3 linked regions of the Xenopus tropicalis genome follow. The protein of the gene in region 1 purifies or fractionates together with the protein of each later gene. This does not show direct contact. Links are inferred from orthologs where the notes say so. Each region holds a gene or a part of one and is shown on either strand. Other genes may lie near its edges.

Evidence for each region.
Region 2: the proteins of ranbp2 (region 1) and bicd2 purify together in Homo sapiens (affinity purification with western blotting; 3 studies listed by BioGRID and IntAct, with this or other methods). This does not show direct contact. The link is inferred for Xenopus tropicalis from reciprocal best matches to the Homo sapiens genes RANBP2 and BICD2.
Region 3: the proteins of ranbp2 (region 1) and nxf1 purify together in Homo sapiens (co-immunoprecipitation; 5 studies listed by BioGRID and IntAct, with this or other methods). This does not show direct contact. The link is inferred for Xenopus tropicalis from reciprocal best matches to the Homo sapiens genes RANBP2 and NXF1.

Annotation. Positions count from the first base shown.
Region 1 is NC_030678.2:109,294,993-109,298,641, reverse strand, and holds part of ranbp2 (ranBP2-like and GRIP domain-containing protein 4), read left to right. Parts: intron 1-72; coding exon 73-210; intron 211-422; coding exon 423-569; intron 570-1,529; coding exon 1,530-1,697; intron 1,698-2,558; coding exon 2,559-2,642; intron 2,643-2,950; coding exon 2,951-3,089; intron 3,090-3,649. UniProt on the Homo sapiens protein: E3 SUMO-protein ligase which facilitates SUMO1 and SUMO2 conjugation by UBE2I. Involved in transport factor (Ran-GTP, karyopherin)-mediated protein import via the F-G repeat-containing domain which acts as a docking site for substrates.
Region 2 is NC_030680.2:150,841,967-150,846,304, forward strand, and holds the start of bicd2 (protein bicaudal D homolog 2), read left to right. Parts: upstream 1-1,480; 5' UTR 1,481-1,697; coding exon 1,698-1,940; intron 1,941-4,338. UniProt on the Homo sapiens protein: Acts as an adapter protein linking the dynein motor complex to various cargos and converts dynein from a non-processive to a highly processive motor in the presence of dynactin.
Region 3 is NC_030680.2:36,504,798-36,508,446, forward strand, and holds part of nxf1 (nuclear RNA export factor 1), read right to left. Parts: intron 2,117-3,649; coding exon 2,006-2,116; intron 1,879-2,005; coding exon 1,820-1,878; intron 1-1,819.

The sequences.
Region 1 (3,649 bases):
ACTATTAGAAACCCCAGTGGCCTGGTTTTTGGCACAAGTAAACAGTTCTGACAGTTGCTATCATTCATTTAGCTTTCTGAAGTAAAAGACTTAGAAGATGACGCATGCCTTGCCTTTGCAACACTGGATTTAGTTGACGGAAAAACAGAGGATGCAATAATAGCATTTGATGCTGTTAAGAACGTTGTTGCCTATTGGAACCTTGCTTTGGTATGTGTTACTACTCTGCATCTTCTGTGTTTAGTTTGACACACTTCTGTTTTACATTAAAATTGCCTATATGTAATTTAATTTTATGAAAAAACTATCACAAGTAGCTGATGAACTGATGTGCTGGCTATAATGAAGCAGATGATATTATCAACACAGTATTGCTTTTAACCTGATGAAATAGAAATCTATTCTTGTAATTTTTTTTGTAGATATACCAGCGTAAGGCCGAAGAAATTGAAAATGATTGTTTGCCAGCAGAAGAACAGGAAGAGTTCCAGGAGTGCCTGCTTAAGTGCAAAGGCTATTTGAAAATGATTTGTGATGAATATAATGCTGATCCTTCCATTGCAACATTGGTAATAAGACAATTTGAATAAAAGGGCTATATGTTGATATTATTTAGATATAATATTATAGTTCTGTCGATAAAGTCTATACTTGCTAGTGTTTATCCATTAGTCCCCTAAATTACCCGGAGAGGCCCATTTATCAACATTCTGATTTTTGTCGTTTTAAGTTTTTTGAAACCACACAAAAAATTTGAGTTTTAGAGCAAGATGTCAACTTTATGGACATTGGTAAATATTAACAAGGCTTTGGCCTTTCTCCATCAAAGTGTTAGATTATCTGTGTGGCTAAAGACACAGAGCTGTTCATACATCCTGTTGGCTGGTCACAATTATAATGACTGAGGTGCTTACTGGTCCTTGTAATACCATAATCCAGCTCTAACTAACTCATTTCTTTGGTGACTTGGCCCAACGGCTAAAGTCTCTGAACAGCTAGTTAAGGTCCACCAATGAAGTAGGCAACTTGCTTAAAGATGACCTTACCAATTGGCATGCAGAACATAGTGTTTTCTGTATATTTGCTGATATTTCTTAACAATTCACACCAAGGTCTTGTTTGTCTTTAATGTGATCTAGAGAATATAGCGCTGAGCACACAACATGGCAGTGAGGCCTAAAGTAGTGTTGTCATGCATATAGAAGGTAAAAATAAGTTAGTTACATTTTCACTAAAATGCTTTCAATGCTGTCTTGTATATTCCAGATAGCTTCCTAAGAAGCTTCAGTAGTGGGTAAATACTGTAATACTTCAGTAGCAGGTAAATACTGTAGTTGTGTTTTAAATCTTTAAAATGGTGGCTGATTATTTAGAGTAGAAGCCAGTCAAGTATATTTATACTTAACATTGTTGTCATAGTACCGATGCCTTTACTGTGTGGAAATAAATATTCTTTGATATTGCTATAGATATTTGCAAGCAGAAATTCACTCTCAATTGTTAAACCGTAATATTTTGTTTTACTACAGTTGCCAGTTCCAGTTGAGACTGTGATTGAGATGCTGGAGTCAGTGAAGCAGAATCTTGGAGAAGCGATGGAAGATCGTAGCCTGGGCTTTGTGGAAAATCATTCAGCAATAAAACATTCCACACCATCACCCTCCAAGCTGTCCATATCGCCCAGCAAACCAACTCGGGTATTTTATTAAAAAAATGCAGCTGAATTTTGATTATCTACCTTTTCTTGTCAATGAATACAGTCTTATTTGCTTCATATAAGTGTATGTAGAAGCCAATGATGAAACAAATTGCTAGAGAAACTGTCCTGTTACTTAATTGCTCAGGATATTTCTTCTGGTGGCTTTGCTGTGGGTGTCAGGGAGAAGTGAGGTAGAGAGCATTGAATTAAGGGTAGTGGCTTTGCACATATGAGTCACATGTTTGCAAGGGATATGCTCATGTCATGGGCTGCAATGCCATTTCATTCATAGCAAGGCACAGAACGATTACACCAACTTTATACTTTGGGCTAACATACCCCTTTAAGAGAAGAGTGAATATATTGCAAAGCTTAATAAACCCAATAATTTATACAGCTAAATTGTATATTAATATGTAGGGTATTGCTGGAGATTTGCAATTAATATCCATAATTAGCTGGCAATTCTGATTAATAACCGAGAACCAGCAGCTGGTTTTGGGTTCCTTTTGTGCCCTTAGATGCCTACAGTTTGTTTAACATTTGTAAACTGTATGCAAAATTACCTCTAAAGTCAGTTTCTTAAAATTCTTTAGAAATAGGGTAAATTAAGGTGGTTTAATTGGTTACAATTTAACTCAAACTACTTATGTACCAGTATGTGATGTTCTTTTAAAGCTTTCATGGCAGCCCAAGGCAACTACAGCCCATTAGCAGTGGAAAATCTGTGCCTCCATAGATGCAAAACTATGCAAAAAAAAATTAGCTGGGAACAGAAAGTATACAATTAAATCCTGATTTTGTCAAACAAGAAGGTAGTGATAATAAAAACTGAACTATTTTATTTTTGTTTTTTTAGTTTTCTCCCAAAACGCCACCACGTTGGGCAGAAGATCAAAAATCTCTACTTGAAGTGCTCTGTAATAAAGTAGAAGCATTGAAGGTAAGGGGAGGTTAACATTTGTTTAATAAAAAGGTAACCAAAGCTTTTACTGTCTAGTGCCACTTAAGGGTGCCTACATGCAATCCTAACATGCTTTGTTCATGCTTGGTGGCCCTAAATTACATTCTACACTTATGTGGCTTTCCTCCAGTCCTGTTGCATAGAACTTATGGTGTTAAGCCTAATAACTTCTATACCTTCAGCTGTCACAGTTTCTGCTTTTTCTACAGCTACCATTCCTGCATTCCATACACATATTTATATGATGTACACTTTTACTTTTAATATTTTGTTATTTTGTCTTAAAGAAAGAAGTTCAAGAGCTGAAACACAACAATTCGAATGCAAACGCTTCCCCTCATAGATGGCCTAATGAAGGATTTGAGCCTGACAGTGTTGCTGATGGCTACCAAGGAACTCAAAGTTTCTATACAGTTCCCCTAACAGGTGAGGCATAACATATTATTCATTATTGTATGCTGCTTGGCAGTGAAAGGCTCCCTGACATTGTTTTGATTTTGAATTAAAGGAAAACTATACTTTCAGAAAGAATACTTAACCAACAGATAATTTATATTATAAGTGCCCTAATAAATAATCTTACCAAATTGCCATGTACATATCTGTACATGTGACCTTTTTACATCTTTTCCCCTTAAAGCTACCATTTTCTGATGTTTTGTGTGCTCTTTCAGTGATCACTTGACAGGAAATAATACAGCTTTATCTAACAACAGAAAGAAATAAGGTGGGGTTGAAATCTTTCACCTGCATGAATTTAAGTTTTGCAGGTGACAAAGGGTCTGGTTATTATCATTAAAGTTTATGATGGAACAGTTGCATGAATTTTGTTCGCCATAGCAGGCATATCCTTACCTTAAGTGCAGTTGAACATGATTGGTACAGGTATGGGAACCCTAATCCAGAATGCTCGGGACCTGGGGTTTACTGGATAAGCGACCTTTCTGTAATTAGGATCTCCTACCTTAAGTCTACTAAAAAAATTA
Region 2 (4,338 bases), on another chromosome or scaffold:
ATAAAAACAGACCAACTGCAAATTGTCTCAGAATATCACTCTCTACATCATACTAAAAGTTAACTCAAAGGTGACCAACCCTTTAACCCCTGGCTGACCAGACTAGAATACAACAACTCTATGAATGATATTAACCTCACACAAACCAATGTCTAAAGGGGTAGTTCTTTATGTCACCCTCACTAACTTGTACCCAGCAGCACCCAGGCACCTTGGGGTTTAGCAGCGCTAGAGTGCAAGCTCTTGAGCACAGATATCTGTTACACTTGTTGCAAGGGGCTTCAGGATTTGTGCAACTGCAGAAACTTTTTCCCGACCCCTAACCCCCAAATTTTCCTAATGAAGATATTCCAGCCCCCACCCCAACATAAACAGGTCACTGAGGCCCAGCAGGGGGCGCCTCCCAGAGCCATTACTGTATCAGACTGGAATAAGGATTGTGGCACCAAATCAGTCCGTACTTGGCTGCCCGAATCTTCTGGGCTCCATTTTCCCTGCTAGGCCGGGCTGCCAGATTTATTTTCCCAAACCAGCCAAAGTCAGTGCTAAAATCAGCCCAAAACCAGCCAAAAGCCACTTTGAAAGTAGCCCAAATATAGCCCAATATGTGCAATGAAAAAGAATTCTAGAAAATAAAAGTATATATGGGAAAAGCTGCCTTTATAAAGCGTATAATCACTGCCCAGTTACTGGCATGGCTGTTTCCCTGCTCTCTGGGCCCAGTTACTGGGATGGCTGTTTCCCTGCTCTCTGGGCCCAGTTACTGGGATGGCTGTTTCCCTGCTCTCTGGGCCCAGTTACTGGGATGGCTGTTTCCCTGCTCTCTGGGCCCAGTTACTGGGATGGCTGTTTCCCTGCTCTCTGGGCCCAGTTACTGGGATGGCTGTTTCCCTGCTCTCTGGGCCCAGTTACTGGGATGGCTGTTTCCCTGCTCTCTGGGCCCAGTTACTGGCATGGCTGTTTCCCTGCTCTCTGGGCCCAGTTACTGGGATGGCTGTTTCCCTGCTCTCTGGGCCCAGTTACTGGGATGGCTGTTTCCCTGCTCTCTGGGCCCAGTCCCTGCAGGTTATTGTAGTTTTGATGCCTCAGATTCAGCAGAGGAATAGAAAAGGGAGCTGCTGTCTATAATTGCATGCTGGGTATTGTAGTTTTATAGTCAGCCTAGCTGTAGGCCAATAGTAAAGATACAAACTACATTACCCAGCATGCACTGGGACAGACATGTCAGAGGGAAAACACTTTAGCTAGTTTCCAAACTACAAACCCGCCAAGGCGCCAAAAACGAACCCAAATTTGTACCTTGGCGGGTTTGTACTTTGGAAACCCTTCTGGGCTTTAAATTAGTAGTAATTTGGCGGAAAACCCGCCAACCCGGCAAACCCTGCTGCTAGGTCTCCCCTACCCCGACACTTTAATCACCCCACCCTTCCCCACTTCCCAGATGTTTTGCCCTTATCTTGGCCCCGCCTCCCTACTTTCCAGCGCTACTGAGCAAGCGCACTGCCCATCTCCAGCTTAGGGACCGTGTGCAAAGCGCTGTGCCCGTAAGAAGGCTGCGCCCAGTGCTTGTCAGATTGCTCCCTCCCTATCCGCCCCCGCTATTGCCAGACGTTCCCTGCGCACAGCCTGCAGTGGGGAATGCGGAGTCCGGGCTGGAGAGGGGGGATCGGTGCCAGGCTGAGCTGTGCCCGGGCACCATGGCACTGAACGCGGCGGAGGAGGAGGAGTACGAGCGGCTGGTGCTCGACTCCGGTCCCGAATGGCTACGAGCGGAGGTGCGGCGGCTGGTACGGGAGCTGGCGGAGACCTCTCGGGAGAAGATCCAGGCGGCCGAGTACGGGCTGGCGGTGCTGGAGGAGAAGCAGCAGCTGAAGCAGCAATACGAGGAGCTGGAGGGGGAGTGTGAGACCGCCCGGCAGGAACTGGAGCAGCTCAAGGAGGTACCGCCTGGGGCAATAACCGGCTTGGGGGGTATCCTGCTGGGGTAATAACCACTGGCAGGGGCACAATGTACCCCCCCCCAGGGAGAAGGGTATCCTGGGGCAGTTACTGGGAAAGGGAGAAGGGTATCCTGGGGCAGTTACTGGGAAAGAGAGAAGGGTATCCTGGGGCAGTTACTGGGAAAGGGAGAAGGGTATCCTGGGGCAGTTACTGGGAAAGGGAGAAGGGTATCCTGGGGCAGTTACTGGGAAAGGGAGAAGGGTATCCTGGGGCAGTTACTGGGAAAGAGAGAAGGGTATCCTGGGGCAGTTACTGGGAAAGGGAGAAGGGTATCCTGGGGCAGTTACTGGGAAAGGGAGAAGGGTATCCTGGGGCAGTTACTGGGAAAGGGAGAAGGGTATCCTGGGGCAGTTATTGGGAAAGGGAGAAGGGTATCCTGGGGCAGTTACTGGGAAAGGGAGAAGGGTATCCTGGGGCAGTTACTGGGAAAGGGAGAAGGGTATCCTGGGGCAGTTACTGGGAAAGGGAGAAGGGTATCCTGGGGCAGTTATTGGGAAAGGGAGAAGGGTATCCTGGGGCAGTTACTGGGAAAGGGAGAAGGGTATCCTGGGGCAGTTACTGGGAAAGGGAGAAGGGTATCCTGGGGCAGTTATTGGGAAAGGGAGAAGGGTATCCTGGGGCAGTTACTGGGAAAGGGAGAAGGGTATCCTGGGGCAGTTACTGGGAAAGGGAGAAGGGTATCCTGGGGCAGTTACTGGGAAAGGGAGAAGGGTATCCTGGGGCAGTTATTGGGAAAGGGAGAAGGGTATCCTGGGGCAGTTACTGGGAAAGGGAGAAGGGTATCCTGGGGCAGTTACTGGGAAAGGGAGAAGGGTATCCTGGGGCAGTTATTGGGAAAGGGAGAAGGGTATCCTGGGGCAGTTATTGGGAAAGGGAGAAGGGTATCCTGGGGCAGTTACTGGGAAAGGGAGAAGGGTATCCTGGGGCAGTTACTGGGAAAGGGAGAAGGGTATCCTGGGGCAGTTATTGGGAAAGGGAGAAGGGTATCCTGGGGCAGTTACTGGGAAAGGGAGAAGGGTATCCTGGGGCAGTTATTGGGAAAGGGAGAAGGGTATCCTGGGGCAGTTATTGGGAAAGGGAGAAGGGTATCCTGGGGCAGTTATTGGGAAAGGGAGAAGGGTATCCTGGGGCAGTTATTGGGAAAGGGAGAAGGGTATCCTGGGGCAGTTATTGGGAAAGGGAGAAGGGTATCCTGGGGCAGTTACTGGGAAAGGGAGAAGGGTATCCTGGGGCAGTTATTGGGAAAGGGAGAAGGGTATCCTGGGGCAGTTATTGGGAAAGGGAGAAGGGTATCCTGGGGCAGTTACTGGGAAAGGGAGAAGGGTATCCTGGGGCAGTTATTGGGAAAGGGAGAAGGGTATCCTGGGGCAGTTATTGGGAAAGGGAAATGCACCGCTGGGGCAGTTATTGGGAAAGGGAGATGGACCGCTGGGGCAGTTATTGGGAAAGGGAGATGGACCGCTGGGGCAGTTATTGGGAAAGGGAGATGGACCGCTGGGGCAGTTATTGGGAAAGGGAGATGGACCGCTGGGGCAGTTATTGGGAAAGGGAAATGCACCGCTGGGGCAGTTATTGGGAAAGGGAGATGGACCGCTGGGGCAGTTATTGGGAAAGGGAAATGCACCGCTGGGGCAGTTATTGGGAAAGGGAGATGGACCGCTGGGGCAGTTATTGGGAAAGGGAGATGGACCGCTGGGGCAGTTATTGGGAAAGGGAGATGGACCGCTGGGGCAGTTATTGGGAAAGGGAGATGGACCGCTGGGGCAGTTATTGGGAAAGGGAGATGGACCGCTGGGGCAGTTATTGGGAAAGGGAGATGGACCGCTGGGGCAGTTATTGGGAAAGGGAGATGGACCGCTGGGGCAGTTATTGGGAAAGGGAGATGGACCGCTGGGGCAGTTATTGGGAAAGGGAGATGGACCGCTGGGGCAGTTATTGGGAAAGGGAGATGCACCGCTGGGGCCGTTATTGGGAAAGGGAGATGCACCGCTGGGGGGGGGGGTAATTTGGATGCCCAGTGGCTTCAGGTGACAGGTCCCTGTCTGCCTCTCCAGTTACTGCTAAACGGGGTACATTGTGTCAGCTATTGCCAGTCAGGGGGGGCTGTGCCAGCTGTGGGGGCTAATTATGGCTAACTGGGGGTTCAGACTGTTGGGGGTACCAAATCCTGCCAAACGGTAGGTGCCAATATTGTGCCCAGGCTCTGCCAGTTACTCTGCAAGGATTGTTCTCAGATACTGCCCCTGCCTGTGGCCCAAACACTGCCCCCTGCCTGTGGCCCAAACACTGCCCCCTGGTATTGTGGGCATAACCCTCCTGTCAACTCAGCGGGCACGG
Region 3 (3,649 bases), on another chromosome or scaffold:
ACTTGTCCGATCGGCGAGTCGTCCGATATCGGCAGCTTCCTGCGATATCGGTCGACTCGCCGACATGCCATACACGCACCGATTATCGTACGAAACGAGGTTTCGTACGATAATATCGGTGCGTGTATGGCCACCTTTAGCCTAACAGCACTGATTAAAGATTGTGAATTGTTGACAGACAATCCCAGATATCACAACACAATGCACTATAATTTAATCTAAAAATACACTAATGTAATTGTTTGGCAATTACGTGAATACAAGCCACCCCGAGCGAGAACCATATCAATGAGCTGATGAGGTCGTTTGATAAGACAGAAAAAATTAAACCAGTCAAACATCTGCTTGATTTTTGGTCAAATATCAGTCAGATAGGCCCCATACATGGTAAAATAAGCTGCCAATTCTGTCTGAAGGGCCCAAACCATAATCTTATCAGCTACCTGTTTATGGACACCTTTAAGCTTAAAGGGGAAGGAAAGGCTAGTAAAGAGTTAATCTCAAGCTGCAGGCATACCTTCAGTTGTCTCAATAGTGCCCTTAAGTCTCCCCATATTTCAACTGGTTAGAAGATCTGAAGCCAAACAGGAAGAAAATACACTGAGCTGCGTAAAGAAAGTTCCCATAATGCCTCACTCCTGCACAGACACGAATACTAAGTGAACATGCTCAGTTAGACTATGAGTTAGCTTCCTGCTGATTGGCTCAGATCCACATTCCTAAGGGGGGGGAGAGAGTCCTTAGCATTCTTGAGGGAGGGGGGAGCAGGAGAGGGGAGAGAACAGAAAGCTGCGTGTCTCTGGCACAGGAATTACAGACCCAAATTATCCTTTTTCAGAGAAGTCAGTGCAGCGTTTCCGTGAGTGCTTATAGCTGTATTTACATAGACCTTTCTGATAAAGCTTACTTAGGGGGCAGATTTATCAAAACAGGAGTTCGAATCCCGAATGGGAAAAATTCGGATTGGAAACGAAAATTTCTGAAGGTCGCAAATATCACGAAAATGCTTACGAAAAAATCGTATTAGTCACGATAATATCGTATTGGCGATCTGAAAGTCACTGAATTTTTATACCAAACAATTGTAAACAGCGGCAGAGCCTTTCCAAAATTGTCGAGAATACACTCGAAGCGTTCGCATAAACGCTCCGAGCGTTTGGATCTTGGTAAATCTCCCCCTTAGTGTTTACCTTTATTTCTCCTTTGTCAAAGGGAACATAATAAGCAAATCTACACCTGGGCAGAATCAATGGCAAACAATGCTTTATTGTTTTACCTGCAGTCAGCTGCAAAAGAGCTAAACACTGATTGATTGCTGCCCAGGGACAAATTTGTCCAGTGTTTACACATAAATCCCAATGTGTATTTTCCATGTATTTTTCAATGCATTTCTGGGGTAAACCAATAACCTTCTCACCCATCACCTCTCAATAATTTCTTTACTGGTGGCAGACACAGCTACTTGCCTGGGGCAGCTTTCCATTTTAATGGAACAATTGCACTTAAAATGTACCACCCATTGAAAATGGATATTTAGACAACATTTCTGGCCACAAATTGCATCGGGTGATTGATGCGATTCTTGCCCAATGGCCAGCATTCTGTTGTTTGATCCAATAGTTGTGACCCACGGCCCTCAAGGTGGGCATATTGGGGAATGATCTGCACTTTAGTCAACCTTGCCAAACAAGTGGATCTTTACATGTATGGCCAGCTTTAGTCAGGTTCCAAGCTGCACCTGTTTAGAACCAACATCTCTGGGTGATCAATCATCAGGTTTTCTCTACAATACAGGAAAACAGCAAATGATTTAACTTACTTGGATCTCTGAGTCTTCTTATATTTCTGCTGTCCTTGAAATATTCTCCAAGACTACTCCTGTTCAAAGAGACAATTATATTTCAAACTAAATACTAACCTTTAATAACATGCATTTTCTTGTGCAACTCTGCTATTACAAACTGCAGAAATTGCTCAAGGAAAGAATAGAGAGAAAACAACAAACCTAGAAGGGTTCTGGCCTGGATTTGAAGGAATGCTCAGAGAGCAACATGCCTCATCATGATACACATTCAGAAGACCCTGCCTGTCTTCAGAATCATAACAGGCATAATACCTGAAAAACAGAAAAAATATTAGGAGAAAGTTGGCATGTGTTCATGTGATCAGGATCAGCTGTTTAGCTGGTAAAGAATGTGGGACACTGTGCATCTTTACCAGATGCAAAAAATAAAAATCAAATACTGCCTAAGCAAGCAGATGACAAGCTTGGTAGTGTCCTGAATTGTGGGAATTTTCCTTAAAGGAAAACCTTTTACCCCCCAAACAATGTAGGCCTCTATAAAAATATATTGCATAAACCAGCTTATATGTAAAACCCTGCTCCATAAAAATATACTTTTTAGTAGTATGTGCTATTGGGTAATCCTAAATAGAAAATTGCCATTTTAAGAATTAAGGGCCGCCTCCTGGGATCACAGGATTCACAGTGCACACAAACAAGCCAAGGCACACATACATGCTAGGCCCCATCAGCCAATGAATGGACAGTGTTCTGCCTTTTGCTCCCACACTACTTCCTGTTACAGTTAGAGCTGCATTATTTCTGGTCATGTGATCTGAGGGAGCAAACAGCCTGTCACTTAATGGTGGATCAAGGGAAAGGATGTAAAAGGGCAATATTTACTGATATAATATTCCAGTTTGGCGAGATTCTTTAATAGATCACTTAACGTAGTATAAACCATCAATATTCATTCTGGGGTATAGTTTTTTTTTTTTTAAAGGACATGTCAACTCCAAAAATAAATGTTTGTCTAATAAAAGAAAATATAATTCTAAGAAACTTTCCAACATACATTAAAAATTATTAGTACTTTAAAAGTTTTGGAAATGTAATTGTTTTTAAAAGTAACAACCAGGAGATCAGCAAATGCTGATTTCTATAATAATGTTTCAAGTGCCAGGCTCCTCCAGCAAGTCAGGTCTGTCAGTCTGCTAGCAGTTACATTGTTCCAAACACCAGAGCCAACAGGGCAGAGAATAGAAAATGACTGGCAAACACAACTTCTAATATGTATTATATACAAATAACTCTAAAACCATTACAAATATGCAATGAATGTATATTTTCAAAGTTGCTTAGAATTAAGTTTTCTTTTATTAGACAAAAAAATATTCAAGAGAGAAAAAGGGAGAATAATTTGGGCTACATCCAAGACTAACAGAACATATGTCCAATTCAAGATTGTGCCTGAAAACAAATAGCTGAAGATATTTTACCTCACACTGACCCATGGGGAAAAGTGTCGGTGGAAAGGCCTTTCTATCAGTAAAATTACTCTAAACAGCCTCCAGAATTACCTACCTTTGTCCCAGCATTCTCTCTGACCTGGTTCCTCAGTTAGAAGGCGATTGTTTTTCTTTACTTCCTTGTGCAGAGTGAAGCCCTGCCCCCACTCTCTGTTCAGTTCTCTCTACCTGTAGTCGACCTGGAGACCCTTCTGCGCATGACTGGAGTCAGCAGAAGCCAGTCTGTGGATTAGCAGTTTTTTTTGTTTTTTTTTATGAGAGACCTGAACAGGAAGTGGGGGTGGGGCTTCACTCTGCACAAGGAAGCAAAGAAAAACGATCACCTTCTGACTGAGGA